Linked DNA regions of Diceros bicornis minor. The protein of the gene in region 1 binds, or shares a complex with, the protein of each later gene. Links are inferred from orthologs where the notes say so. Each region holds a gene or a part of one and is shown in the gene's direction. Other genes may lie near its edges.

What was found.
Region 2: UBTF (region 1) and TAF1A share a complex: the UniProt entries of both Homo sapiens proteins name them as parts of the pol I pre-initiation complex. The link is inferred for Diceros bicornis minor from reciprocal best matches to the Homo sapiens genes UBTF and TAF1A.
Region 3: UBTF (region 1) and RRN3 share a complex: the UniProt entries of both Homo sapiens proteins name them as parts of the pol I pre-initiation complex. The link is inferred for Diceros bicornis minor from reciprocal best matches to the Homo sapiens genes UBTF and RRN3.
Region 4: UBTF (region 1) and TAF1B share a complex: the UniProt entries of both Homo sapiens proteins name them as parts of the pol I pre-initiation complex. The link is inferred for Diceros bicornis minor from reciprocal best matches to the Homo sapiens genes UBTF and TAF1B.

Annotation. Positions count from the first base shown.
Region 1 is NC_080757.1:42,828,050-42,835,731, reverse strand, and holds the start of UBTF (nucleolar transcription factor 1), read left to right. Parts: upstream 1-4,669; 5' UTR 4,670-5,029; intron 5,030-5,458; exon of another isoform or gene 5,459-5,476; intron 5,477-6,600; exon of another isoform or gene 6,601-6,795; intron 6,796-7,682. UniProt on the Homo sapiens protein: Recognizes the ribosomal RNA gene promoter and activates transcription mediated by RNA polymerase I (Pol I) through cooperative interactions with the transcription factor SL1/TIF-IB complex.
Region 2 is NC_080777.1:10,820,520-10,827,476, forward strand, and holds the start of TAF1A (TATA box-binding protein-associated factor RNA polymerase I subunit A), read left to right. Parts: upstream 1-3,955; 5' UTR 3,956-4,014; coding exon 4,015-4,044; intron 4,045-4,578; exon of another isoform or gene 4,579-4,649; intron 4,650-5,141; exon of another isoform or gene 5,142-5,192; coding exon 5,193-5,325; intron 5,326-6,957. Other genes in the region: putative G antigen family E member 3, read left to right, coding at 3,071-3,451. UniProt on the Homo sapiens protein: Component of the transcription factor SL1/TIF-IB complex, which is involved in the assembly of the PIC (pre-initiation complex) during RNA polymerase I-dependent transcription.
Region 3 is NC_080765.1:35,622,145-35,629,867, reverse strand, and holds the start of RRN3 (RNA polymerase I-specific transcription initiation factor RRN3), read left to right. Parts: upstream 1-4,708; 5' UTR 4,709-4,740; coding exon 4,741-4,829; intron 4,830-6,115; coding exon 6,116-6,221; intron 6,222-7,012; coding exon 7,013-7,069; intron 7,070-7,723. UniProt on the Homo sapiens protein: Required for efficient transcription initiation by RNA polymerase I (Pol I). Required for the formation of the competent pre-initiation complex (PIC).
Region 4 is NC_080751.1:70,279,233-70,287,031, reverse strand, and holds the start of TAF1B (TATA box-binding protein-associated factor RNA polymerase I subunit B), read left to right. Parts: upstream 1-4,788; 5' UTR 4,789-4,853; coding exon 4,854-4,871; intron 4,872-6,012; coding exon 6,013-6,111; intron 6,112-7,799. UniProt on the Homo sapiens protein: Component of RNA polymerase I core factor complex that acts as a GTF2B/TFIIB-like factor and plays a key role in multiple steps during transcription initiation such as pre-initiation complex (PIC) assembly and postpolymerase recruitment events in polymerase I (Pol I) transcription.

The DNA of each region.
Region 1 (7,682 bases):
GTAGGATGCCCCACAGCATGGCTTGATGAGCAGTGTGTGGGTCAGTGCCCGGGATCCAAACCTGCAAACCCCAGGCTGCTGAAGCAGAGTGTGTGAACTTAACCACTACGCCACCGGGCTGGCCCCTAAACTGGATTTTATTAAAATAAAAAACTTCTGCTCCGTGTAATACAGTGTCAAGAGAATGAGAAGACAAGCCACAGACTGAGAGAAAATATTTGCAAAAGACACATCTGATAACCGACCGCTATCGAGAATATACAAAGAACACTTAAAACTCAACAATAAGAAAACCAACAACCTGATTGAAAAATAGGCAAAAGACCTGAACAGACATCTCACCAAAAGATATACAGATGGCAACTAAACATATGGAAAGATATTCAACATGATATGCCATTAAGAAATTGAAAATTAAAACAATGAGATAACATTACACACCTATTAGAATGGCCAAAATCCAAAAACACTGACAACACCATTTGGAAAAATCTATTAATGTCCAATATATTTATATTCTATGATACAGGAATTCCACTCCTGGAAATATACCCAGGAGGAATGAATGCATATATCCACCAAAAGATATGCACAAGAATGTTTGAAGCAGCTTTATTCATAACAGTCAAAAACTGGAAACAACCCAAATGCCCATTAGAAGTAGAAAGGATAGGGGCCGGCCCGGTAGCAAAGCGATTAAGTTTGCACACTCCGCTTCTGTGGCCAGGGGTTCACAGGTTTGATCCAGGCGTGGACACACGCACCACTCATCAAGCCATGCTGTGGCAGCGTCCCCTATAAACTAGAGGAAGATGGGCATGGTTGTTAGCCCAGGGCCAATCTTCCTCAGCAAAAAGAGGAGGATTGGCAACGGATGTTAGCTCAGGGCTAATCTTCCTCACAAAAAAAAAAAAGAAGGAGAAGGAGAAGTAGAGAGGATAAATTGTGGTATATTTGTACAATGGAATACTACATAGCAATGAAAAGAAATGAACCACTACTACATGCAACATTATAAATTAATCTCAGGCATAATGTTGAGTAAAAGAGGGCAGATGTAAAAGAGTACATACTGTGTAATTCCATGTACATGAACTCCAAAAACAGGCTAAATTTATCTATGGCAATAGAACTCAGAATAGTGGTGACATTTGGAGGGGAATATTGACTTTGAGTGAGCTAGATGCTAGAAATATTCAATATCTCCATCTGGGTGGTGGTTACATGGTATATATATGTAACATGTATAATATGTATACATTTATAAACATTCATTAAGCCGTACACTTAAGATATGTGCACTTCATTATCCGTAAATTATACCTCAGTTAAAAAGAAAAAATAAATAAGGGACAGTAGATCCAAAAAAAAAAAAGAGGAAGAAGTCTTTATGTCACTATCTTTTTTTATTTTCCTAGATATAGTGCATATTTATTGTAGGATTTGTGTAGGTAACCATCTAACATACATAAAACTGTGCCACCATTTTTATTAGGCTCTTATCTTTTTAAAATTATTTTATTAAAGTCACATTGGCTTATAATATTGTGTAAATTTCAGGTATACATTTATTTTTTTTTTTTTGGTGTACTTTTTTTTTTTTTTGCAGGGGAAGATTTGCCCTAAGCTAACATCTGTTGCCAATCTTCCTCCTTTTTTTCCCTCCCTCAAAGCCCCAGTACATAGTTGTGTATAGTTGTAAGCTCCTCTGATTCTTCTACGTGAGCTGCTGCCACAGCATGGCTACTGACAGACGAGTGGTGTGGTTCCGCACGGGAACTGAATCCGGGTGGCAGCAGTGGAGCCATCAAACTTTAACTACTAAGCCATCAGGGCTGGTTCCGCGTGTATATTATTACATATTTTATGTCACTATCTTAAGTAAAAATTTTAAAAGAACATTTCCAATACACATTAAAATACATAACTTTGAAAATAATATGTTGATCTGTATACCATCTAAAATTACTCCATGAACACCAGGAATTCAAGTACTACACTTTGGTTAATACATTCCAGGCACACTAGGGGTTTTATAGGAGTTGGTGCTGGAGTACTGGCAGCCCAGGGAAGGGCCGGAGCCAAGTGGAGAGTTTGTAGCTAGGATTATACCCTGTCACCAGCCTGGGCTGGGGTTGTGGAATGCTGAGGTTCTGCTTCAAGGCACAGGGCAGAAAACTGGAAGGGAAAGGCGGATGAATTGGGAGGGGGGCAAAGAAAAAGGACCAAGGGCCGATTCCCTCATGCTCTGGCCCACAGCCGGAGTCCTAGACTCCTGACCTCACCAGAAACACAATACATGTAAAACAAGTCAATAGGTTTCCAAGCGGGAAGAGTGCCAGCCATGATTTTTGCTGCCCGAAGAATGAAAAAAAATCAATAACAATCTTTCTTATGATTCATGTTCATCCCTTTTTATTCCAAAGCATTTTACCGAAAGGCGTCTTGGCCCAGCCAAGAAGCTCAGGGCCAGGAGCCAGGACACCCGGACTCCAGATCTGTGTGTGGAAGATTTGGAACTTTCTTGGGGTCTAAGTTTCTCCCACTGTAATTGTGGCAAGTGACATTGCGGAGTATTTTACATTTTACATACATCATCTCACTTGACCTTCAGACTCCTGAGGAAAGCAGAGAACATAGGATTGCTGTTCTAATTTTATAGACAAGGAAACTAGGATTAGGTGAGGTTAAGAAACTTGATCTCACTCACACACTATTAAGAAGGCGGGGAAGCTGATAGGCTGGGAAGCTGGGATTTCTGACTCCAAACCCTCTGCTGTTTCCTAGTCAATACAAGAAAGTCGCCCCGGGGGCCGGCCCGGAGGCACAAGCGGTTAAGTGGGCGTGCTCCACTGCGGCGGCCCGGCATTCACCGGTTAGGATCCTGGGTGCCCACCGAAGCTCCGCTTGGCAAGCCATGCTGTGGTGGCGTCCCATATAAAGTGGAGGAAGATGGGCAGATATTAGCCCAGGGCCAGCCTTCCTCAGCAAAAAAGAAAGAGGAGGATTGGCAGATGTTAGCTCAGGGGCCAATCTTCCTCAAAAAAAAAAAAAAGAAAGAAAGAAAATCGCTCCCTGCTCTGCTCTAAGTACAGAGCAAGATAGCTTGATCCTACACAAAATGCCTTGTGTATGTTCCAAGGGCAGGGCTGGGTTTGTGGGGCCGAAACTTGTACAACCGTGCGGGGGGTGGGGGCACGGACGGTCGGGGACGGGACATGAGGTCGCGGACTGGACATGACACTCTTTAACAAAAATAATGTCAAGTGATGAATCAAAATGAAGTACAGGGCCTCGGACAGGTCCTGAAAATGAAGGGCCCTGAAGCTTCATTAGCGTCAAGGTAAATCAGCTTCTCCTACATGCCCTGCCCACAGAAAAATCCGGACACACCAGATCCTGACAGGCTTTTCTTCCCTATTTGTGAAACGTGGCAGATGCAGGCTGTGGAAATCCTGGGAAAGGAATCTCATTTCTCCCAGGAGACAAGAGGAATTACAGCAGCAGCGAGGCCGTTGTGTGAGGATGAAGGTTGTGTGCCAGGGGAGAGTCCAAAGGGGCTGGTGACCCAGCTGGCCGAGTTGTGGGCGGGAGCAGTGTTAGTGTGGGAGACTGGCCGCCTGGGAGCCAGGAGCAATGGCGCTGCCCGAGGAGCGATGGCCCGAACTAGGCTCGCCTGTTGGAAGCAGGCGTTCTTCAGACTGGCTTCTGGCTCGCTGCGTCCTGATAACCCTTCCTCTATGGAGGGGAGGCAGAAACAGACAACCACAGCCGGCGGTAGTGGGAGGGTAGATGGAGGTCCCCGCCCAGGCCTTTCGATCGCCGGCTCGCAGGGTCGTGGAGTGCCGGAGGCCTACGCCGAAGCTGCCCCGCTGCGGCTGCGGCGGCGAGGCCCGAGTGCCAGGCTCCGCGCGCGGCTCTCCGCCGCCGCCGGGGGTGGGGGGCAGCGCCCGCGGCCTGCTTTCCCAGGGCTGGTGGAGCCTTTTTGACACGCTGATTGCGTGGCAGGGATTGGCTGGTCCGGGCGTGACGCCGGTAACAACAAAGGTGGAGTTGGAAGAAATTAGATTAAAGGAGAGGGGAAAAAAAAAAAAAGAATTAAAGGGGGAACTGGCAGGGGACAGGAGGCAGAGACCGAGCGGGAGATGAGCGAAGCGCGGTCTCCGGCTTCGACTTCGCCCCGGAAGCCCCTTCCCGCAAACCCACCAGGATTTGGCTCTCCGCCCCCACCCCGGCCGGCCCAGCTAACGAAGCCGGGGTGGGAGGGATGGCTGGTGCTTCTTGAGAAATTCCCCCAACTCCCACCCTGACACCCCTTGCTACCGGCCAGGGGGAGAACTTTTTGCTCGGACCCCTCGGATTCCAAACCCGGCGGAGGTGAGCGGCTGAGAAGGAGAGGCTTGCTCTAAAACCCGGAAGGCCCTCGCGGGGCCCCGAGATCGGACGAGGCGGGGTGCTCCCCCGGTTTTTCAATGTGTTGCAAATCTAAGAGCTTCTTTCTTGCTTTTTTTTGTAACACTCCCCAAAGTCCCCCCCCCCCGCTTTGGCTTCAGGGTTGCAAAAGCAAAGAGCAATAAAAAAAAAAAAAACCGCGCACACACTCAGACACACACCAGTGGCGACAAGGGAGAGTTGGGAAGACGCAGGAGAGAAGCAGGAGGCAGGAGGCAGCGGGGAGGGAGCAATGGGAGCGGGAAGCAGGCAGGTTCCCTCGCAAATCCCTCTCCGGCCCCACGTCGCCTCGCCGGCCCCGGCAGGGGAGCAAAGAGCCAGGCGAGCAGATGGAGGAGTGGAGCTCGCTTTAGGCAGCGGGCTTGGCCGGAGAATGGAGGAGCCGCCAAGCGACCGGCTGATTGGAAGAGAAACGCAGAGCGATGGAGGCGGGGGTAGGAGGAAGATTTCTCTGCGGGGACTGGCGGCGGCGTATACGCCCGGGTCGGGCGCTGCAGAGCTTGGCTAGCTTTCAACCCGCGCTCGCCGGCTCCAGCCCCGCGCGCCCCCACCCCCAGCCCTCCCGGCGGCTCCGCAGGTGAGTGCGAGCTGGGGGCAAAACGACCCAAAAGTCTCAACACGCCCGCCCTGCCAAAAAAAAAAAAAAAAAAGAAAGAAAAGCATTTTTCTTTTTTTATTTTCGTGCAGCCCCCAGCGCGGTGGGAGGGAAGGGGTGAGGCTGAGCCGCCCGGAGGAGGCGGAGGGGCCAGGCGAGGCCGGGGTGGCCCGGGAGGCGGCGGCGCCGAGGCGGCTCTGACGGGCGAGCGCTCGGAGCGGCGCTGCGCTGCGCCGAGGCGGGCGGGCGGAGCGGGGCGGGCGGAGCGCGGCGCGTGGGGCTCGCCATTAGCCGTCGCTCCGCTTCGCCATCTCGGGCTTTGTCTGGCGACTCGCTGCCCCGGCGTCGGCTGCGGCGGAGCTGCGGCTCGGCTCTTCGGCCCGCAGCACCCCTAGGTGCCCCTGGCCCGCGCTCCCATTCACACGCTCGGTAAGTGAGCCCCGGCGCCGCGGATTTCGGGGGAGAGGGGTTGCTGCGAGTAGCGGCAGCGCCGATCTCCATGCGCCCTGGCAGGCCTGGGGAGCCATGCCGGGCTGGATTGAACCGGCTCCCAGAGAGCTCCTCTGCCGGAGCCCGTCGCCCCCTTGCCGTTTCCGGGGTGTAAAAAGCGAAGGGGACTTTTTTTTTAATTTGCAGGGAAGGCATTTTGTAGAGGTGGTGTTTTTTTTTTTAAGTTTCGTGTGTGTGCTGTTTGGCAGCGAGGAGACCGCGAGGTAGGCGCCGAAGCTTGGCGCCGCGATCGGCGTGCCTGAGCCCCAAGCCGGTGGCCACGCTCCGGGGAAGAGTGTGGGCGCGGACCGCCCGCTCCGGGAGGCGGGAGAGATCTGGCATGGAAACCCGATTCTGAACTGGGAGGACTTGGGGGAGAGCTCCGGAGCAGGGCTACAGACACCCCCTGAGTCTCCCCGGCCACCGGGGGGCCCCTTCGGGCACCCTCTCTGCGGCCGCGCCTCGCGCTCTCCCTCCCGCGCCGGCCGAGCCTGCTAGTTCCCCCGCGGGTCTGGCGAGGTCGCTCTCGGCGCCCGCCCGCCCGCCTCGGCTCCGAGCCCCGCCGCCATCCGGGCGGCTGCGTGTCTCCCTGCCCCGGCCCCCCCTTCCCGGCAGCAGCAGCAGCAGCCGCCGCCGCCGCCACCGCCACCACCACCACCACCACCACCACCACCACCCCCCTCCCCTCCTTCCTTCCCTCCGCCTCGGCCGCCCGGGTCCCCCCAGCTCCCGCCCCTCCTCCCAGCTGCCCCCCGCGGAGCCCGCCCGGGCAGGCTGTGGGAGGGAGCGGAGCCGGCGAGGCGGGCGGGCTGGCGCTCGCTCCCCGGGGGTCGGTGTGCGCTCTACGGGGAAGGACGCGCTCGCTGCCCCGCTTCTCCCGCCCCCCCTCCCGCTCCTCCTCCTCCCTTCTCCCTCCTCCTCCCCGCTCCGGCGGCGGAGGCTGCGGCGGCGGCGGGGGGTGTGCGAGCTGAGGCCGGGGCCGGCGGGCGGGCGGCGGGCGGGCTGCCTGCAGGCGGAGGGCGCTGTGCTTTGTGCTTTTCGCCGCGAGGAGCAGCAGGCAGCAGCCACAGCCGCCGCCGCCACAGCAGCAGCAGCCGCCGCCCCAGCGCCGCCGCCGCGCCCGGAGGAGGAGCCGCTGCCGCCGCGGGAGGGAGCTGCGGCTGTGCCCGGCCGAGCGGGGGAGGGCGCCGCCGCTCAGAGCCGGGGAGGGAGCCGCCGGAGCGGGAAGGCCGGAGGCCGCGCTGCGCCGGGTAACCGAGGTGGCTGAGAACGCGCGCCGGGGTCGGGTGGCGGGGAGCGAACCGCGGGTGCGGTAGCCGCCAGGAGGGGACCCGGGGTGACCTCCGGGCAGAGGACTGGGCGAGAGAGAACCAGGGCACTGGAGAGGACGCCGAGAGCCGGGGGAGGGGAGGGCAGGAAGCGAGGCCCGAGCCGAACCCCGGCCGCAGGCGGAGGAGCCCGCGCTTCTCCGAGCCGCCAGACGCAGTTCTCGCCGGCCGCCGGAGGGGGCGGCGGGGCCGGTGAGCGCTGCTCCCCCGCCTCCCGGCCGTCGTCCTCCCACCCTCTCCTTGGCTCTGCTCCCCGGAGGCCGGGGCGGGGGCGCCGGCAGGGCTGGGCCGCAAGCTCAGGGGAGGAGGCGGCGGTTCCCGCCGTGGTCGCGCTTCTGCGCCGGGCTCCTCCGTGCGCGTCGGGGTGGCTGGGCGGTGGCGACGCTTCTGGCCGGGGTGGGTGGCTCGGGGGCGGGGGCCAGGCTAGGCCGCTTCTCTCCGGCTGCTTGCCCGCCCGGGCGGGCGGGGACGGCGTCGGGAGCCCGAGAGGGGGGGCGGCGGGAGTCCGGATCCGGTCCCCGGGGGCGGCGCGGCCGCTGCGCTCCGGGGCCGGCGGCGGCTGCGCTGCGTCCGGGTCCCCGCCGGGTTGCGGAGGCGGGGGGAATCGGCCGGGGGGGAGGCGGGAGGAGGAGACTGCGGCGCGTGCCCGCTTCCGCGGCCGCGCGCGCCCTTTACCCGCCCTTCCTCCTCCCCCTTCTTCCAGCCTGGGGCCTCCCCGGGGCGGGCTCACAGAGGAGGAGGAGGAGGAGGAGTTTTTTTTTTTTTTTTTTTTTTTTTGGCTAGGGTGGGGGAAGGAGGGTGGAGGGCGGGCGCTAGCT
Region 2 (6,957 bases), on another chromosome or scaffold:
AGCACGAATGACTTGGGGGTGGTGGTAAATGGAATTATACTGTGGTAAGGCTCCTTTATTTTATGTGAAGTATCACAATTTTAACTCCAAGTAGACTGTGATAATTTAAGAATGCATATCATAATTCCTAGAAACACTGCTAAAACAATAATGCAAAGAGATATAGCTAAAAGCTAACAGAGGAATTAAAACGGAATACCAAAACATTTGATTAATCCCAAAAATGGCAGGAAGTGAAGAATAGAGGAACAAAAAACTAATGGGACAAATTGGAAACAAATAGAAAAATGATAGACTTAAATTCAAAAATATCAATTATTATAATTCATATAAATGAATAAAACACACCAATTAAAAGATAGTGATTGTCAGATTGGATTAAAAATATGTGGCTCCAACTAATTATTGTCAACAAGGGAAGTACATTAAATAAAAAACACAGATAGGTTGAAAGTAGAAAAATGGAAAAAGATATACCCCACAAACAGTAAGCTGAGAACATGGCTGTGACTATATTAATATCAAACAAACTCATTCAAGATAAAGAGTTTTATCAGAGATATAAAGGATATTTATAATGATAAAATGGTTATTTCATCAGGAAGATATAAGAACCACAAATGTTTGTGTGTTCAATAACAAAGCTTCAAAATATGTGAAGGAAAGCTGACAAAACTAAAGAAAGAGACAAATTCACAAACATAGTTTGCCATTTTAACACGCCTACCTCAGTAATTAATAGTAAGTGTTCATACGGTGATATGAAAAATCAGTAACAATGCAGAAGATCTGAACAAAACTAACAACCACCTTAACCTCATTGACATTGGTAAAACATGACACTCAACAGCTGTAGAACACACATTCTTTTCTAGTGTCCACGGAACATTTACCAAAATAGACTATACTTTGGGCAATAAAGTAAGTCTCTGAAATTTTTAAAATCTTGACATCTCACAGAGTTTGTTTTCTGACTGCAGCATAAATAAACTGGTAATGTCTAACAAGATCGACTGATGAAGAAAAAAAGATGGAAGATGCAAATGATCAATTCAGTGTTTCAGTTTTCTATTGCTGTGTAACAAACTACTCCAAAATTTAGTGGCTTAGAACAACCACCATTTTGTTACTCACCATATTGTGAATCAGGAATTTGTACCGGGCTTGGTGAGAATAGTTTACCTCTGCCCCTGTGTTGTCAACTGTACTCACTTATGCGGCTGCATTTAGCCAGTGACTGATTTGGGAGACAAGATCTGAGAAGGACTTCCTCACACATGTGGAATTAAGATGCTGACTGTCCTCTTCATGTGGCATCTCTCTGTGTGGTGTTTCATCCTCCAGGGACTCTTTTTTCCTGCAGCCTCTCTCTCCCCAGTAGGATAGCCTGGACTTCTTTGCAGAGTAGCTCAGGGCACCAAACGGGCAAAAAAAATGAAGTTGTACCTTTGAGGCCATAGTTTTTCCTCAAGTCTGGGGTGGGGTCCTAGTCCACGTATTTGGGGGAGTTTATAGTTGGATAATATTTTTCTCTATATTGTTATGTGACCTGTTTTGTTCTTATGCTTTCATTTTGCCATATTCCTTTTTTATCTTGTTCATATTATTAGCTGTGATATAGTATAGTCTACTTACGATGATGTCTTTCCAATTGTTTGGTTGTCTGAAGCTTGTTCTCTATTAGACTGCAGGGAATCTAATAAAGGGTTTATGGGAATAATTGAAGGGTTCATGGGAATAATATTCTCTAAATAACAGTTTGCAGTTTTTTTAAAAAACGTAATTCAACATCATATTAAGTTACTCTTTAGCACAATGCAATTGTAAGAACATCTTTGTTCCTTAGGATATGTTTTCTTCTAGATCAGAGTCTAGAAAGTCTTCTGCATGCATTGTTTTATGTTTGCATTTTTGTCAGACTATTTCCTTTTTTTAAATCTTATTTATGCTATTCCATGTGATATAGTATAATCATTTTCTTTTTACTCTCTTCTCCCTAACGCACTTTTTACCAGAATTGTACCATGGAAAAGAGAAGAGGTAGGTAGAGCATATAAAGATATTAGTTCTTAACTTTCTCTCTTTAGATTTATCTACCATTGCCCACAGTTGCCTGAGAACGTTAAGGTAAATCAGAAATTTCTTCCCCATTTTTGTGAGAGCATGAATTTCTAGCCACATAAAATCAGTTCTGGATTGGTTTTGGTGAAATCACACCTCATACCTTCCCATAGCAAGGCGAGCAATGTGCCCAGATCAAACCTCTAGACTAGAAGCTTATGGCTGTTATTTTGTGTGTGTGCCCTCCTGGACATTATCATTTAGGTCAGCCTTGCCTGTGGAATTAGAGTACAGGCTTGAGTGAGGCCAAGGACTTATGACACAAGGATCAGCCAAAGGAATTTTTCCTGCAAGCCCATAGCTACTGCATAGTATTTATCAAGACAACATAGAATCAAGTATTTGCAGCATTTTAAGGAGTCGCTGTACAAACTTTTATTAGACCCTTTAATCTCCTCTACAACACTCTGATTCTGCTCAAATGGTTCACTTTCAGGGTAGAGGAAATCCAAAGATTCATGTGGGAGCCTGTGCCGTTATTTGCGCAGCCTTATTTACGAACAAAATTCTTGTAATGACTTTACGCTGTTTCCCTTTAACTTTACCTACTTAGTCCTAGTTCTATTCTCTGATTCTATGAAAAAATAGTCTTACCCTTCTTTCACAGATCAACTCCACAAATTTTGGAGATACATATTATGTTCGCATGTGTCTCTGCTTTCCCAGGATCATCTTTCCTAGACCTCCTCAACTTGCCCTCATTTCACATTTAATCATCTTACTTTCGACTCCTATTTCACAGAAGTTTGGCAATTCGTTATGAAAAGTCACCCCACACGGATCCACGGAACCATCCCCCGAGAAGGAAAAAGGTATGCTTGTCCAAATTTTGGGCAGGCAGTCAGAGTCACTTAAATTCAAAGCTAGCTTTTCTTCTGTGCCAGTCGCTGTGCCAGGGGAGGTCATGTTCCTGCCATCTTGATTCTTTCTCGCTGGCTGAAACTCAGCCATGGGAAATATGAGTTGGCATGTAAGAACAAGATCCAAAGCTGCAGGAAGAAAACATGATCGAGAGTCTTCTCAGCCAGTTGAACCTGTGGTTGCTCAGCAGCCCAGTGATGAACAACCTCAACTAGAGGAACCACCAACTGAGAGTCAGGATATTATACCTGCTCAGGACATTGATGATGAAGGAGCACCTTCAGTTCACGGGCCTGATGTGGAAACTGATCAACAGGAACTGACCCTGTTGAAGACTGTGGATGAGCCTGGAGAAGGTCCTGATGTCGAGGAAGAGATTCTACCACATCTAGAGCCCATTAAAATGCCAGAAGCAGGTAAAGGACAACCACAAATTTTCAAGCATGCTGTCCTTACGGTGGAAATTTGAGAGTTAATCTCTGAATAAAGTTTTACAACTTTCTTCAAATAAAAAAAAATTCAAAGCTAAAACTTTAATAAAAGAGAAAAAACATTTCAAGGAAGCAGTTAGGCTATGTAACGATTTATCTTGTCAGGACCGCCAGCCACGCCTCCGAGGCTCGCGCAGTGCAACCCTGAGCCAAGCAGGAACGGAAAGGTCATCGTACAGTGAATTACTCGGGTAAAGTGACATTCTGCTTTTTTGACCATTCCTCTCTTCCAGGTGCCCTCACTCCCATCTTCATTTGCAGTTAAACTCTCCTATTTTGCGGCTGCGACAGACTAAGTCACAAACCTGGAGCCATCCCAAAGCGAGGGCGACAGTCAACGGTCACTTCCGGGTCACTTCCGGGGTCGAGGCGCGGACAGCCACGCCTCCACCGCGGAAGGAGGAGTTAGGGGCGGGGCTGCGTCTGCGCACCGCAGGGACGCCCGAGGCAGATTTTGCGCATGCTCACGGGAAGCACTCGCTAACTTCGCTTCCGGGGAAGGGTTCCTCACGTTGCTTCTGGAGTCGGGACCTAGAGTTTAATGTTACAGAAGAGCTCCGGCTTTAGGCAGGTAAGTGCATTCACAGTGGAACGGGAAGGGCTGTGCTAGGATTCACCTGTGTTCCTTCTGCTATCTTCTCTTGATGCTCTGAAACCTCGAGGTCCGAGAACTGGGCAGAAGGGGTGGAGAAGCTTTGGTTACCGTGGCAACCGCGTGACATCAATTTAGTCTTTGAGACTTTGGGAAGGGAGAGCTCCTTATGGAACGACGTCTTAAAATACATGTGGGTCGGTTGCAGATTCAGGTGTTATTTCAAGCCCACGCTCCTAACCCTAGCATTTGATTTTAAAAGGTTTACGTGGCTGTAATGTGGAGAAGCAAAATTCGAAGCAGGGTAACCAGAGAGAAAGCTAAAGCAGTAATCTAGACCCAGTTTGAAGGTGTCCTGAACTGGGGTAGTGACGTAGGATTGCGGAGAAGAGGGAAGACTGGAGAAGTGCTAGCAGGTAGTATCAGCAGGACCTCGTAATCCATTGGATATGGGGCCCTGAGTATCTTGAGGATCAAGTCCAGACTCAGCTTGGAAAATGGCTGTCTTTCTAGATTCCTTTCCCGCCGTCAGTTCTGCCTTCTGCCGCCTCCTCCACGCAGACCCCAGACTCTATTCATGCCAGGTAGTTTCGTGTTCTAGTTCCTATAATATTGTTCTCTCCTTTCTTGTGACGGTGGACCAGGTCACATAATTTCACTAATCTCTCAGTTTTTTCGACATGAAAATGGAAGAAAATAATAGTACTTTCCTTAGGATTTCTGTAAGGATTAAATTAGATAATTTATATGCCTGGTGTGTAGAACAGGCCCAATAAATGTTAACTCCTATTATTATTATTGGACTTACTTGTCCTATTATTTTGTTATTATGCGTCATTTTGCGTCATTTTGCTCTAGACTTGAGTATTTTTTTAATTAAAAGGTTAGTATCTATCTTTGTATGTTCTTGAAATATAATAGTAGTTAAGTTTTTTTTTTTTTGAATGGATCATTATTTTTGGCTGTAGCTGACATAATTAAATTGGTTTTTTTCTTCGAGGGAACTACTAGGTACAGTTAATTTTGTTAATCAAATGATATTTATTAGGTAAAAAGATGGTTTTTTTTTCCTGTAGAACTCAGAAGCCTGTGGATTAAGATGTACAGAGAGTAATTGATATTCTCAGTTTGGAATAGGTATGAGTGATTTCAGTGAAGAATTGATAAAGTCTGTAACAGAGGATGACCGGCGGGAAACCTGTGAGCTCTCCGGTACAGGAATGCAACTTCCTTGGCTCCAAAAGCATATAGAAACTGTGGGTAAGTAAAATAACATATAACCGTTTTAACTTGAACGCGCGGAGATGATGAGATTCAGTATGGTTACAAAAATGAATAACTAAGCTGGTTCAGTTTTCAAGATAGGAATATATGAGGTTTTTTTAAGGCTGTAAGCAAAAAAGAAATCATAAAAATATGCTTCTTTTTTTTCAGAATTCTTCTCCTTTGAATTAAGAACAGATAGTCTGTATTATGGTAGATACACATTCTTTTTTCCAGCAGTACTTACTGAGCACTTATGTCCCTGGCATTGGCTAAATATTTGAGATACATGGATGAAGAAGATATGGTCTCTGCCATTGAGGAGTACATACCTAGGAGGTGTTTTCAAGAAGTTTCTGTTGAACTGCATTGAAATAATTCCTAATAGAATTCATGTATAATATGTTTCAAAAAAAGAAATTTTCCCCCATTTTCATCTAATGTAAATAGAAGCAAGTTTTTCTATGGGATCAACTCCCTATCTGAATATATAAAAGAAGCAGTTATCTGTATGTTGGCATTTTGGGTGGTGTAGTCCTAGGAATACATGTGAACCAGCACTTTTCTTATTAGCCTCAAATACATCTTCTTAGTCTAGCCTTCTTTCCCCTTGACTGAGATTCCTTGGCTCCTAGAATTTAGCTCCTTTATCTTCTTCTTTCAACTAAGTATCATCTCATTTTATTATCTCAGTAAATTAATCCTCAGTAAATCTATGTGCTAGGCCATTTTGGAGATGAGGAAACTGAATCTCAGCGAAGTTAAACTCTAAATGTTGGTACCAGGAGTCAAACCCAGGTCTATCTGATCTCAAAGGCTGAACTTTTAGTGACTGCGATATATAAAAAAATGGGATAATATATATAAAGTGCCTAGCACAGAGCCTTGTGTGTAGTGAGTGTTGAAAAAATAATGGTTTCTTTCTTCTCTTCTCATTTTATTTTTGCTATATTAATGCACATGGTTTAAGCCAGGTTTGAATGGATTGTACTTTAGAGAGAATAGTACTTCACTCCTTGTAGGGAAGTAGTAATCTAAAGTTCCTGCTAGTTAAGGCATCCCTGGGCTTGTTTCTGTCACCAGTGTCTACAGAGAGCTTGAGTCAGTCCAGAAGCAAATAGGTTAAAGACCAGAATTTACGTGCTTAGGAGTGTTTTGTAGATTATGGATAGCCTGTTAAACTCCAAATACTTTATGCCTGCAATGAGAAGATAGTTGCAGGTAATACTGGCATTGTAGTGATAATTAACCATAATAGGAAAACACAATTGCCTAACAATTATTTATTTTTTATTTTGATAGATACCTTTTGGCATTTGGAAGGATGTGCCCCCTAGAATAAAAACTTTGAAGACATGAGCGAGTTGGGAATCAAGCTGTATGTTGAGTACCTAGAATAGTGCTTGGTGCATGGTAGTGCTCAAAAAATATTTGAGACTGACCGACGAGTTTCCAGATTCTTTCAAGGGCATTAGAAATTAGGTTTATGACACCGTCTTTATTGTATTTCATTCCATCAAAATGTATTTTCCGGGGGCTGGCCCGGTGTCGTAGCGGTTGAGTTTGCACGCTCCGCCTCGGTGGCCCAGGGTTCACAGGTTTGGATCCTGGGCTCGGACTGACGCAATG
Region 3 (7,723 bases), on another chromosome or scaffold:
TATTTCTCTGGTTCTTATTTCTGAGTTGGGCTGAAAGGGGTGAGCTGCTAGTTTCACTGTGAGCTAGATCAAGGTATACTGCTCTCGGCCTAATGCTCTTTCTACCATGCCATTCTTCCTTCTTAACGTGCTTTTGTATCCTACAGTACGTATTTACCATACTATAGTTAAATGATTTAGTGTGGAGAAAAATTTCCAGTACCATTATCAGATTATACCATGGTGAATTGATGTTCAGTATTACTTCTTCTGAAACTCAATATCCTCTCAGCTTCGATTTTCTGTACCTTTGTGTCCTGCTTTGCAAAAGGACTAATACAGAGTAATTTGAATATAAAGAAGGAAAAGGAATGAGTATTTGCATTTCAAAAGGATTCCCAGACAATCATCCATTTATTTCAGCATTCCCATTTTGGCTGTTTTCTCAGTTGATCCTCTTCATCTCAGCCACCACTGCCCTCCTCTAAATGACTATCACTCAACCCTGGACTGATAAACTAAAATCCTAAGAGATATCCCCTTTTCTATTCTTGCCATGGGGTCTTATACATACTTTTCTCCCTGCTTTCAAAGCACTCTCCCCTCACAGCCTCCTGACCCCTTCACCCTTAGTGTTTCTTAGATTTCAACTGTTATCACTTTCTCAAGGAAACTTCCTTAAGCTCCTTAAGAGGTAAATTCTGCCCATCATAGAACCACACAGCACTGTGTGATCTCCTTCAAAGGACTTAATTCATTTGTAAATTTACGTTTAATCAATGTCTGTTTTTCTCACTAGATGGCAAGCTCCATGAAGCCAAGGACCATTATTGTTATTTGCTGACCACGTATCCCCAGTGTCTAGCACACGGCCTGGTACCTAGGTGTTCAATAAATATTTGTTGAATAGATGAATGTAGATGTTAACTACTATTAGATCAAAAGCCTGTAGGCAAAGATAAAACTGAGGTTAGGTGGCCCCTACCAACCAAAGACCAATTAGAAAGACAGAAAAAGCTGATTTCTGAAATTGTGCCAATAAAACCATAGAAAACATGTTATTGATTCACAATTTCAGTTAGATACAGTTGCATTCTGAGGAATTTGGGGGGAAAATTAAGGTAGTTTTCTCTGTAGCATCTTCTGATAAAAATATGAAAAACATTGAACACATGAGGCTCTTGTATATTACCACCATTGTTTTCCAACAGAATAAAGCGGTAAGTGATTTTTTTTCCTATGTTCCCCCAAGAATATTACAGGCAAAAATGGAAATTTTATGACTGTTTACAATGTAATTTTGTATGTCATTTTACTTTTTTGTTCTCTAATCGTTTCAGATATGTTTTGTGTCTTCAATTAGACTAAAAGTTTACTAAGGCCATACTTTATACCAGTGGTTCTTAATTTTGGCAATATTGTTCCCCAGGGGACATTTGGCAATATCTGGAGACATTTTTGCTTGTCACAATGGGGAGGAAAGGAATGCTACTATCATCTAGTGGGTAGAGGCCAGAGATTATGTATTTTATATATGATTATACATATTAAAGATATACAGTTGAGATCTTGCATTAATGAATGGAGTTTTTATAAAGATAATTGAGGCAAAATAATTGTTGATTCTTTTTGGAAAGGGGAAAGGAGCAAATGGGATGTCTACTATTGGTTTTGCTATTTAGAAATTGTTGATCTGGATCTTCCTTATCATTCACCCATTTGAAAAACATTTATTAAGCGTGAATAGTGACCCTCTCATCTACAGCAAAGATTCATTGAAAGCCATTTGGTACAATATAACTTCACCTCTCTAGATTGGGTTAGAGGAGGGCACCTGACCCAAACTCGGCCAATGAGAAATTCTTTTCTGGCATCTTAAGATATCCTTGTATTCTTAGAACAAATTCTCCTTTTCTGCTTAAGCTAGCTTGAGATAATTGCTGCTACTTTCAAGCCAAGAGGCTTTAACCAACAGAACTACTCTAAGGATGATTATAAAACTCATCTCTAGGGGAAGACTGCTCTTTTGAAAAAACAGTTTAATGGGTCTTCTGGGTATACGAGAGTAAAGCAAAAATTCATTCTGGAATGAAGAAGCTCAGAACAATTACCGACAACTGCAGTGCACAGTGATGTCAAAGGATGACTACATTGTGGGCAAGGCTGCATCTTTGCAGGCAGCGTGTCAATGCTTGTTTGCTTTGTTGTTGTTGTTTTTGGAGGAGCGGTCTTTATTTTCTTTGATTAGAGCTGGAGACAAAAAGAGACAGGACTCTGGAGAAGGCAAGACTGGATAAAGGAGGCTTTTATCACGGCAAAATGAGCTGGCCCGTGGAACAGGTGACTGAGTAGAGGATCCCCAATGAAGGGACATGACCAAAGAATGCCAACAGTGAATTATACTATTTAGTTTTAAGATTTTTCTTGTATTATGCTCTTGCTCCTATTGAAAAAGAATTTTAACATGGAAGCCTAGTCTTACCTGTCCTTTGGGAAAATAAGGAAGGTGCTGTGCTCAAGCTTAAGGAGAAGATATTGCTGGGAGTGTATATTGGCACAACCACTTTGGAAAGTTCTTTGTGTCTTGTGTACCCTCCAGGCCAACAATCCTACCCTAGAAAAATTCTTGCATACATTATTCAGGAGACTATACAAGAATATTCACAGCAATGTACATAATAGTAAGGGGTGATAATCTAAATATTTGTAACAGGAAAATGGATATATAAATCCATGGTATATTTATACAATGGAATGCTAGATGGCAGAGAAAATAAAACACAATACACACAACAGGGATAGATTCTAGAAGCATCATGTTGATTGAAAATAAGCAGCAATATAATGCAGCATGGAAATAATTTTATCACTGAAAGACAAGCAAAAGGGCCGGCCCCGTGGCTTGGTGGTTAAGTGCGCGCGCTCCGATGCTGGTGGCCCGGGTTCGGATCCCGGGCGCGCACCGAGGCACCACTTCTCCGTCCATCCTGAGGCCGAGTCCCACATACAGCAACTAAAAGGATGTGCAGCTATGACATACAACTATCTACTGGAGCTTTGGGGAGAAAAAAATAAATAAAATCTTAAAAAAAAAAAAAAGAAAGAAAGACAAGCAAAAGTAAACAGTATATTGTTTAGGAATATATATGGCAATTACATAAAGAAAAGTTTAAATTATTTTAAAAAATCAGGATAGTGATTACCTCTAGGAGGAAGCAGGGACAAGGTGGGATCTGGGAAGAACACAGAGGAAGCTTCAATAGTACAGGTTGATATTCTGTTTCATAAATTGGGTGGTACACTCACACGTGTTCATTTTATTACATTTTATAACTTATATTAACATATATTCTTTTGTACACGTCAGACCTTTTTTAAACGAAAGAATAAAGTAATTGTCAAACTGCTTGACAGTACAGAGTTAAACTTCTACTGACCGTGTACGCGAGTGCCGATGAATTGTGATTTAATTTTTTTTCTCTTTGCTTTGGGGATGAGGGGGAAGAGATTCTAACTTAAACAGCTGTCTTGAAGTATCTTTGTGAGCTAGGGCGCAATTTCCTCTGCTCTTAGGACATTGATGGTTTCTGCCCAACCTTCCACCAGAACTCCAAAGCAGTGAGGAAAGAAGGGGCGGGGCCCACAAGTTGCTGTAGCTGGTTTTATGTACTTTTTTTTTCTTTCTCTTTTTTTTTTTTTGTGAGGAAGATTAGCCCTGAGCTGACATCTGTTGCCAATCCTCCTCTTTTTGCTGAGGAAGATTGGCCCTGAGCTAACATCCGTGCCCATCTTCCTCTATGTTATATGTGGGACGCCTGCCACAGCATGGCTTGATGAATGGTGCCTAGGTCCGTGCCCAGATCCCAGCCTGCGAACCCTGGCGGCCAAAGCAGAGGGTGAGAACTTAAACACTACGCCACCCGGCTGGCCCCACGTTTTACGTACTTTTGGTAGTTCTATACAGTTTCCAAAGGTTGCAACATTTTCCCCTCTTAGAAACTGAGGGGAAAGTCAGTCCCTCCTTCCCTATGTCTCCTTCCCACCCCCCATGCCATGGCACCTGCTCTTCCCTATGCCTGGAAGACCCTTCGCTGCTTTGTTGGGCTGCCCCACCCCTGTACCTCCGTTAAAAATTTAAGTTCAAGGGCTAAGGCCTCTTGGCAACTGTCCCCTGCTGTTTGATTTCTCATCCCAGCATCACCGCAGCTCTGAGGCTTTTGGGTAAGTCGCTTCCTCAAGCCTCAGTCTCCGTGAGGATAAGATCAGCTTGGGTGTCTGTGAGGACAGTGCAGTGGGTACAGACCCAGGATAGGTGTTCGAATCCCGGCCCCACCTCTCTGAGGGTTTGGATTAATCACCGGGACTCCGTTTCTTCAGTTTGACTGAGGGATGCTTTGACTCCAAAAAATGAATAGTAGAGAAACCCAGCCACCGCTTAGCGCTTCCCCGGTGTCCCCGCCCTTTCTCTGGGATCCTCAGGGCAGGCTCCGAATCTCTCTTCTCCGTGTAGTTCCACCGGCCTCAGCACCGCACCTCGCCGGGCGGAGAAACTCCTCCACCTACAATGAGGGGTCCTTACGTGGGGCGGGGAGGAGGCAGCTTTGGCGGCGCTCTAGCCCGCCGAGATCACGCTGCTCTCCCACGTGGGGCTCCTGATTGGCTGGAGGCCTCCGCTCGCACGCGCGTCTTCCGGGCCAGAGGCGGGGCTAGAAGGGGCATGAGTTCCGGCGCGAGGCGCAGTCGGTGCGCTTCTCCGGCCCAATGGCGGCCCCGTTGCTTCACACGCGGTTTCCTGGAGATGCTGCCGCTTCGACCTCTGCCGTCCAGGCGCTGAGCGCGTCCAGATCTGGGTAAGAGTCCGGGCCGCTGCCTTCTGCGGGTCTGGGACCAAAGCCCGGGACGGGGATTAAGGGAGCGGATCTGAAAGGGCCTGGGACAGAGCTGATGGAGTAGGGTGGAGCGGAGGGTAGGGGTCACCTCAGGTTCTCAGGAGTGAGCCCGTGTCCTTTATGTGGGTAATAAAGGTGGGAGAGGGGCTGGGAAGATGATTCTATCCCCTGTTCCAGAGTCTCCTTTTCTCCCACGGGGCTCCCTCATAGCGTCCCAGGCCTGGTTTCTGCATTCTCCTTTTCTGTTTCCTCCCGCTTCTTCGTCTAGATTTGAAAAGAGTTGCCTGGGCTGCTCTGTTTGCATCATCAGCTGTCACGGATGACAAATTGAATCTTAAGTTTTTTTTTTGTTTGAGGTTTGTTTCGACACACATACTTAACAGTCTTTATCTTGCTCAACTTTTAAAGCCCCTAACCCCCATAAAACACTTTGTGGTTAACTTTGAGAGTCGTTAGTAGGACGCTATGTTTTTTCACTAATCTGCTCTGTTTAAAAGAAGCGAACTTTGTAAAACACTTACCATGATATCAGTCATAATGGTTATTAAGCGCCTACTTACTGTATTCGTCACTGGGGACAGTAGTCTATCAAGAGAGACAAAGTCCCTGCTTTCAACAGAGCTTGCAGTCTAGGGAGGGAAAGACAGTAAATAGGCCAATAAGTAAATGAACAGGATGATTTCAGATACTGATAACTGCTGTGAAGATATAAAACAGGGTGACGGGAGCGGGGAGGGAGAAGATGGATACTTTAGGTTTCTGATGGGGAAGGCCTCTGACATTTGAGCTTCAACTTGAATGACAAAAATCCAGCCATGTATAGATCTGGGGAGTGAGTGTTTCTGATAGTGGAAACAGCAAGTGAAATGGGAACCAACCCCCCCCCCCCATGGCTGCAGTATAGTAAGTGGTTGGAGATGAGGTCAGAGAGGTAGGCAGGTGCCATATTAATGTAGAACCTTGAAGACTACCGTAAGGAGTTTGGATTTGTATTCTGAGTGAAGCAGGAAATCTTGGGAGTTTAAGCAGGGGAGTAGAGTAGCACGGTCTGTCTTAAGGTTTTGAAAGATCATTAGATCACTGAATGAAGAATCGGTTGTTGGGGGATTAGAGTGGAAGGAGGGAGGCCAGTTAGGAGGCCTTAGCAGTAGTCCCACTGACTGATGTTAGTTCAATAAATGTTGGCTGTTATAACTTTTCTTATTCTCTGTCATGCACTTAATAGCTTAATAATCTTGGTTCTACAGGCTTTCAGATATGCTTGCATTAGAGAATGATTTCTTCAATTCTCCTCCAAGAAAAACCGTTCGGTTTGGTGGTACTGTGACAGAAGTCTTGCTGAAGTACAAAAAGGTAAGAGGAGATCATGTGAGAAATGTTAGGTTCCCCCCCCAGCTTTACTGAGATATAATTGACATATTGAGGTTTTTTTGTTTTCTTTTTTTGTCAGAATACAATTATAGCTGTTATACTAAAGAGGAGTAGACGCCATAAAATGAATTTTAGATATTAATCTTGAAGTCAAATATTCAATAACCGTGTGATGCTGTCAGCTCAAAATTAGAGTAATAACTGAAGTTTCACCTCTTCAAGTGCTTTATTTACATAGTATCTTTTAAAAACTTGAGCAAGTACTATAATAAAAAGCCATGAGATCAGAGCATCTTATTTCTTAAGAAGTTACGTAAACATTACTTTGGGACAATAAACCAGCTGTGTTAATAGGGATTTTTTTTGGTTTGTTTCTGTGTTAGTTTTGAAGTGATTCTACTAAATCTCAGCAATGGAGGGAAAATATGAATGACTGTCTATTTTTGTATGTAATGTGCATTTATATTCATATACGTGAATGGATAGTATCTTAAAGTATCGACTGTCATATTCAAATGTCGGTACACAGGTATACCTAAATACGAATGGCCTTTTAGTTGTCATTTTCTTTTTTCCAAGCCCCCTGGCTCCACCAACATGAGTTTTAAAATTTTTGTACTTATGATTTTTTATAGTCCACAGTTGATACGTGAAAGTTCCAGTGTTCCTTTTGTAATTTCATCAGATGTTAAGGTATAGTGAAAAGTCTTGCTGTTGACTGTAACAGGAAACCAAAGCAAGCAAAACTTCATTTTTTTTCCCTTCTTATAAAGGGTGAAACAAATGACTTTGAATTGTTGAAGAATCAGCTGTCAGATCCAGACATAAAGGTAATTAATTTGTGTTTGATCATTAACAAAGTTGTTGCCACTTTGTACAGATGTTAAAGTTTGCACTTTGGGTCCTATTCCACCCTCTAGAACTTGCTGTCTCCATGATTGCTTCCTATTTTAATCCAGTGGTTCTCAACCAGGGGCAGTTTTGTCCCCCCAGGGGACATTTGGTGATGAACTGGAGACATTTTTGGTTGTCACAACTGGGGGAAGGGAGTGGTGCTACTGGCATCTAGTGAGTGGAAGACAGGGATGCTGCTCAATGTTCTGCAATACACGGGGCAGCCTTTCAGCGCAAAGAATTCTCAGGACCAAAATGTCAGTAGTCCTGAGGTTGAGAAATGTTGCTTTAATCTTTCTTTCTAGTACCTCTTTCCTCTATGCTGCGTGCAACTCTCATGTTTCTCCAATCCTAATACAAAACAAAAAACAATGAAAGATGACTTGTCTTTCAAGCTACTGCTCTTCCTGTGTTTCGGAGTTCAAGATATGTACCTGTTGTGTAGTAACAACTCAATATGTTTCCCTTTCTTCCTTTATTGCCCAATTTTGGAAAGAATAGTCTATTACTATGGCAGTGGTAGTGATCGCCTGGGATAAAATCCCAGCTCTACTGTTACTCAGTGTGTGATCGCAGGCAAGTTATTGAAC
Region 4 (7,799 bases), on another chromosome or scaffold:
GCAGACCCCTCTGTCTAAAATAGCAACTCCCACCCCCAGCCTTCCACTCATCTACTCTCTATCTTCATCTTCTGCCTTCTTTTTCTTCCTGGCAGTTTTTTGGCCATCTGACATATTTTACAATTGTTGATTTATGTATTTATCATATGTCTCTCCCAGCTAGCATGTAAGCTTCACAAGGTAGGGAAAAAACACTGTTTTTGTTCATTGCTTTATTCCCTGTGCTTAAAAAGTGCCTGGGAAGTGTAGGTGCTCATTTGTCTAACGCATGAAAAAGTAACTGCTTTTTTGGAAGAAGTTTATGCTATGGAGAGAGCATTTTGAGACAGATGTTTGCAAATGTTTCCATTGGTATGAAAACACTTGGTTCTCTGTATCTTTTTCTGTTATGAGCGCCATTAAAAAGAAATATTATAGTAAATTGAATTCAGGACAAGAACTACAAATCACTGTATCACAGTGTTAAGCCAAGATTTTTAAAAATAGTGAACTCTTTAATTGCATAATTGTTACTAATATTTTCATTGAAAGGAAAGTTATTTATATTAACAAATAATAAATTATTTAAATTTTATTTATCTTATCATCTTAATATTTACATTATGAGTGTCCTATCATATACATCACTGGAACAGTCCTGCATGTATATAATTTATACAAAAATACATACCTGCATAATGGGGATGTGAGCTCAAAATTTTTTTCTGATATGTTGTTATCTAGAGGAGGGAATGTGGGCAGGACTTGGGTGGGTGGTTTTCTGTTCCACCTAGCATCAGCTGAGGTCATTCACTAGCCTGGGAGGTCCAAGAACGTTTCATTCACATGTCTGACACTTCAGTTCTTTATGGAGCTTCTCCAGTATGCATGGCTAGCTTGGGCTTCCTCACAGTATGTTTGTCTTAAGGTAGTTGGACTTCTTGCCATGGCAGCTGGCTTTCAGGAAGACACATTTGAAGAAGAGCAAAAGCTGCAAAGACATTGCTTGGAAGTTATAAAATATCGTTGAAGCAGCATTCCATTGCTCAAAGCTGGTCACAAGACCATTGCAGATTCAAGGAGCAGGGGAAATGGACCTCATCTTTCAATGGGAAGAGTGACAAAGAATTTAAGTCCATTTTAAATCCACCACAGGCTTCTTTTGCACATATGGTATTTGTGAGATTCATCCAAGTTGCTGTATGTAGTAGTTATTCATTCTTTCTCATTACTGTATAGTATTCCACTATATGACTATATCACAATTTGCTTATCCATTCTCCTATTGATGAACATTTGGTTGTAATTTTTGGCTATTATAAGAAAGCTTTATAAAAGTAACTGTGCATATCTTCTGGTGAACATATGTACTAATTTCTGTTGGGTATATATATCTAGGAGTAGAATTGTTGGGTCATAATTAGCATTACTTCCAAATAGTTTTCCAAAATACTTCTACCAATTTATACCCTCAGCAATGCAGAAGAGATCCAGTTTATCCATATTCTTGCCAAACCTTGATATTGTCCATCTTTTTAACTTTAGCTGCTCTGTTGGATGTGCAGTGGCATCTCACTGTGGTTTTAATTTGCATCTTTCTGATGAGTCACGACGTTGAGCACTTTTTCATATATTTATTGATCTTTTAACTCTCCTCTTTTGTGAAACAGCTGTTCAAGTCTTTTGCCTATTTTTTATTGGATTGTTTGTTATTTTTATTGATTTCTTGAATTTATTGAAATTTATTGGTTTATTGAAATGTATTGATTTATTGAATCCTTTATTTGTGGATATGTGTTTTGTTGAATACATGTATTGTGAATATCTTCTCTCAGTCTTTAGTTTGCCTTAACAATGTCTTTTGATGAATTGAAGTTCTTAATTTAAATGAAGTCTAATTTAACAAACTTTTCTTTCTTTGATAGTGTTTCGTGACCTATTTAGGAAATCTATGCTATTTCAAGTCATAAAGATATTTACCTATTTTTTTCCTAGAAGCTTTAGGTTTTACCTATTACATGTGGGGCTATGATCCATTTCAAACTAATTTTTGTGTATGGTGTGACGTAGGGGTCAATATTTTTTTCATATGAACTTCCAATTGATCTAGATTCATTTATTGAAAAACTATCCTTTCCCCACTGAATTTTAGTAGCACCTTGATTGTAAATCGAGTTATCTTACGTGTATTTACAGGTCAGTTTCTGGACTTTCTATTCTGTTCCAATGATCTATTGGTCTGTCCTTGCACCATACTATCTGGATTACCATTTGATTTATATATTTTTAAATGTTAAACCAACCTTGCATTCCTAGAATAAACCCAACTTGGTTTTCATTTATTATCCTATTTACATGTTGCTGAATACAACAAAGGACTTGCATTCAATTTGCCAATATTTTGTTTGGAACTTTTGCATCTATGTTTCTGAGAGAGAATGGGCTTTAATTTTTACTTTTCTTGAAATATCCTCACCAGGTTTTGGTGTCACAGTTACGCTAGCTTCATAAGACGTATTGGTGTATGCTCTCTCTTTTTCCATTATTTGGAAGAGTCTGTGTAAGACAGGTATTATTTCTTTCTTAAATGTTTGGTAGAATTTACCAGTTTTACCTCCTTTGAGATTGAGGTTTTCTCTGTGAGAAGGTTTTTATACACAAAGTTATTTCTTAAATAGATATAGGATTGTTCAGACTTTCTACTTCTTCTTGCATACCTTTTGATAACTTGCATTCTTTTAGGAATTTGTCCATCTCATCAAAATTTTTAAATTTATTGGCCTTGAGTTATTGACAGGGGTGAGTAATGGTTAGTGCTGGGCTCTGTGTCTGTCACTGAAGAGGTGTGGAACTTTGGGTATATTAACTGCTTGTCCATAATAGTAGTGCTGGGGTCCTTGCTATGGTTAGGTCCTCTTGCTAGGCTTGAAGGGCTAAATACATCTCTTTCTGATTTACACATTCTTTCTTTAGATATATTAATACCTTCAATCAGGCTTTGGTGTTCAATCAGATCTTGGCCCAGTTGCACACAGCCAAGCCTGGTAAGTGACATGGGTGACACAACTAGAGAAGAGCATTTATCTAGTGCCATGATAAAATAATGAGACTAATTGCTCCACTGGCCTGGGTGCCTCTTGAAGGCAGGGACTCTGCCCTGTTTATCTCTCATTTCCTGATTGCTGGCACAGTGCCTGGCATATAGTGGGTATTTAAGGACTTTGTGAAATAAATTAATTAACAAGTGAATAAGGAGTGAGTGAATAAAGAGCCACTCCCTTGGTGATCTCATCTAGTGACTTTAAAAACCATCTAGACAAAGATAACTCCCAAATGTATATCTCTAGTTCAGAATTTGCCTCTGAACTCTAGACTCCTATATCCAAATGCCTTCTTATTCTACCTGGCTGTCTTAGAAGCATCTCTACCTTAACATGTCCAAAATCAAACTCCTGATTCTCCCTCTACCCCACTGCCAAACTGTTCCACCCACAGTCTGCCCTTATTAGGTCAATGATAGCTCCACCCTTCCAGTTGCTCAGGCAAAAATCTTGAAGTCATCCTCGACTCCTTTCTTTCTCTTACAGCCCACTTCTTGTCCATGAAGACATCCTTTTGGCTCTACCTCCAAAATCTGTATTTCCAGGAACCATGTACTTCTCACTGTCTCCACTGCTTTTACCTGGTTCAAGCTACCATTATAGCTTGTCTAGATTATTGTAATAGTCTTCTGATTCATCTCCCAACTTCTACCTTGGACCACTATCATTCTATTCTCCCCACAACAGCCAGACTGATCTGTCAAACAAAAGTCAGATGACGTAACTCCTCCAATGTCTTCCCCCATTTCTCCAAGTTAGTAAAGTCCTTACAACCATATTTTGCCCCGACCTCATTTTCTACTCTCCCTTTAGCTCATGTTCCAGCCCCTCACTGACCTCCTTGCTGATCCTTAAATAACATGGCATAAGGTTCAGGACTAGGGCCTTGGAACTTACTGTTCCCTCCACCTGGAATGATGTTCCCAACATGGCTCTTGCTCCTTTGCCTCAAAGGTCAGTTTGTCAGTGAGACCTTTCTTGACCACCCCATTTAAAATGGAAACCACCGTTAGCTCCCATTGTCCTTTCCTGCTTTTCTCCTTGGCCCTCATGCCCGTTTATCATACATATATTTTCCTTATTTATTTTTGTCTCTCCCCACCAGAATATACTCTCCATGAAGGCTGGGACTCTTGTTGACTCTGTTCACTGCTGAATCCCCAGGACCTAAAACAGCGCCCGTTTAATGAATAAATCAAGGAATGAATGTGCCCAATGAAGGAACAATAATAAAGGCTAAAATGAGTGAGCACTTACTACGTGAGGCTCAACGATAAGGGACTCACAGGTAATATCTGATTGTCACAGAGGAGGCACCTGAGGCACAAGGAAGCAGAAGAGCCGTGAGAGGACACCCAGGTTTAACTCAGCAACCTGTGTTCTCCCCTCCAGCACCGCGCGCCTCCCCGGGGCTATCAGAAGCCCGCGGGAAGGGGAGAGCCCGAGCCCTCCACGCCGCCTCCCTGCAGCCTAACAGAGCAAGGGAGTCTCGGAATGAACGCCGTCAGAGGGGCGTGATTGAATCAGCTCAGCCTTAGGCACCGCCCAGTTTCTCACTGGCTGGTTTTAGTAACCTCGACTAGAAAGGGATGCAGTCTGGGAGGGGGATGCAGAATTTGCGGAGCTTTGCCCCCGGAGCCAGCAGAGGCTTTCCCGGGGCCGCAGGCGCCCGGAATCCAAAGTCAGGGTCTCCGTTTCCGTCCGGAGGGCTCCTCCCGGCGCTCCCGGAAGCTGGGCTCGTGCCGGGTAACGGGCCCGGGCGGCGGCGCCGTTATGGACCTGGAGGAGGCGGTGAGGGGGCAGCGCGCCGGGCGGGCCGACAGCGGGGCGGGGGGAAGTGAGGCCGAGGAGCAGCGGGCGGAGGACGCCGGCTGGCTGTGGGGGCCGCGGTCCCGAGGGGGCGGGGCGGGGAAAGGGAGGGCGCTGGCGCGCGCGTGTGCGCGCGGGTTTGGGACCCAGGCTGGAGTGTGCGGCGGGGGCGGGTGTGGGTGAGGGGAGCGTGCAGGTGTGTTTCCGGAGGAGGAGGGCTCCGTGGGGTGGCCACCCACACGGCTCATCCTCTCTCGACGGGACCCCGGGGTTCCCTTGGATGCTGGGTGGGCGAGGGAGCGCTGGGGCTGGGGCCGGCCTGCCCCCGAGCGCCCCCGCCGGTCCCTGCGAGTCCTCGCCGCGGGCTGGCGCAAGGATGCCCAGTGGGGTCTGGGGGCACGCCGAGGTAATGATGGCTGTCACAACAGGTTGATGAAAACTTGACCAACTTGTCGGAGTAAATTTGACATTCATTTTTGCCGTGCTGCATAAGATGCCTCACTCTGGGGTGTTAAAGGAGTGTTCGGTGATTAGATCAATGATGATGTCAAACACCAAAGAGCTAGGAGTCAGTAATTTAGTGCCAGGCTGTGTGTGTGCAGAAGGGCTTACTCCCCCAGCCCCTGTTAAGTGCCTGGTACCTGCGAAGCTGATGCTCCTTACGCTGCTGAATGAATAAATCGAAACTCGAAACAACCCTGATAAAAATCTGGGTCTTTTGTGGTGAGTGTGTGTCTTTAGTGTCCTGGAGGAAGTTCCGAATGGTAGGCTATTTCTGTTTTTTAAATCTTCTCTATACGTAAATCTTGTCGTCTTTTTCCCTCACGGCATTTTCAAGGAGTTTTATTTACTCATCTTTTTTTCCATTTTACCCCCACCACCGTTTCTTCTTTTTTTCCCTCACACACTGCATGTTTTAGAAACATTTCTTTAACAGTTTAATTTGGTTTCAAACTGCTCAAAGACTGAACTGCTGTTCTCCTTGTTTGTTGATAATGTCTCTGATACATTTTCTATTTCCTATGATTTTTTATTTATAGAGTAAAATTGCGGGGAACCCTATGAGTAGCATTGCAGGGTTTAGGTGCGATGTATTGAATGTGGTTTTCCTTTTCTCCTGTAGAAAGAGTTCAAAGAGCGCTGCGCTCAGTGTGCTGCTGTCTCCTGGGGTCTTACTGATGAAGGCAAATACTATTGCACTTCTTGCCACAATGTTACAGAAGTGAGTAACAGATCTCATTTATGAATTTGCTTATGTTTTAAAAATTGCTATTTCAGCCCAATATGTGCCATAATTCCCAAAGAATTGATCTGTTTTTATCACTTATGCAATGCCCAAATTCCAAGAACGTAAGCCATCTTCCAAGTGCTTACACAAGAGTTAGGGAATTTGTAGGTTAGATTTAGGATGAATTTTCGAAAGTATGTTGGGCCACATATTTAAATGATTTCCTGATTCAGACTGTATAGTCCAAGGTGAAATAATTAAAATTATACTTAGAAGATGATTTATTTCTTTTTATTAGTTAATACTTATTAAGAATTTTTAGTGTGTTGTGGTAGCTTAAAGGTTTGGAAAATGGAATGTTAGAAAGACTGAAGATTATTGGGAGTATTGAAAATACGTTTCATTATCGTTTTACATTTGTACAGCACCTCACAGATTACAGAGTGTTTTCTTGGCCATTATTTTGTTTCCTCCTCTTAACAACCTGTGAGATATACTATTTTTTTTTTTTTTTGAGGAAGCTCAGCCCTGAGCTCACATCCATGCTAATTTTCCTCTCCTTGCTGAGGAAGACTGGCCCTGAGCCAACATCTACTTCGAATCCTCCTCCTTTTTTTTTCCCTTTTCCCCTTTTTTTCTCCCCAAAGCCCCAGTAGAGAGCCACATGTCATAGTTGCACATCCTTCCAGTTGCTGCACGTGGGACGCCGCCTCAGCATGGCCAGGCAAGCGGTGTGTCGGTGCGCGCCCAGGATCCAAACCCGGGCTGCCAGTGGCAGAGCGTGTGCACCCAACCGCCAAGCCGCTGGGCCGGCCCCTTAGATATACTATTATGCCTATCCATAGATGGGGCAGGCAGGCCTCATGAGTTCAGTGAGCTTGCCAAAGTCACACAAGTGTAAAGTGTTGAGCCGGGGCTTGAACCTGAGTCTTCTGATTCCAGTGTTCATTTTACCCCATCACACCTGCTTCTTAAAGCAGAGATTGTCATACTGTCCTGTGTAACCTTGGTAAATGAAGCTACCGTCACGCTGGGAGTGCTAGGTCCTGTTCTGGTTACCACACCTTCAGGGCAGTATAACCGAAATAATCAAGGGTGTGGACGACCTGCTATTGGACAGACTAAACGTGCCAGGACTCTTCTCTCTGGAAAAGGATTTGCTCAAAATCTGCAGATCCAGGAGGGAACAAATATTACCTTCACCGTATAGGCTGAAGGAAGGCAAATTTGGGACAGATAAAAGTAACTGTGTAGACTTCTGCTTCTGGCCAAGATGGAGTAACAGGAACCAGGTTTACCTCTCACCTTAAACAACTATAAACCTGGACAAAATATATGAAACAAAAAAAATTTTTTCTTGAGAAAAGTGGTTAATTTAGCTTCCAGCTCAATCACACAAGAGCTGTTTGAGACAATCGTTGTCTTCAGTCTACAGTGGAAGTTTTTATGTCTGCTTCTCATTTAGTTGCACAGAATATTAAAATGATAAGTACTCACGCAATGAAATCATTGGAGTGATGGGTATGTTCATTTCCTTGATTATGGTGATGGTTTCATGGGTACACACGCACACACACACACACACACACAATCAAACTGTATACTTTAAATATGTGCAGTTTGATCTTTTCTGCTTTGATGCATGTTAAGGCACTAGCAGTGTTACTCACTATTGCTTTTGC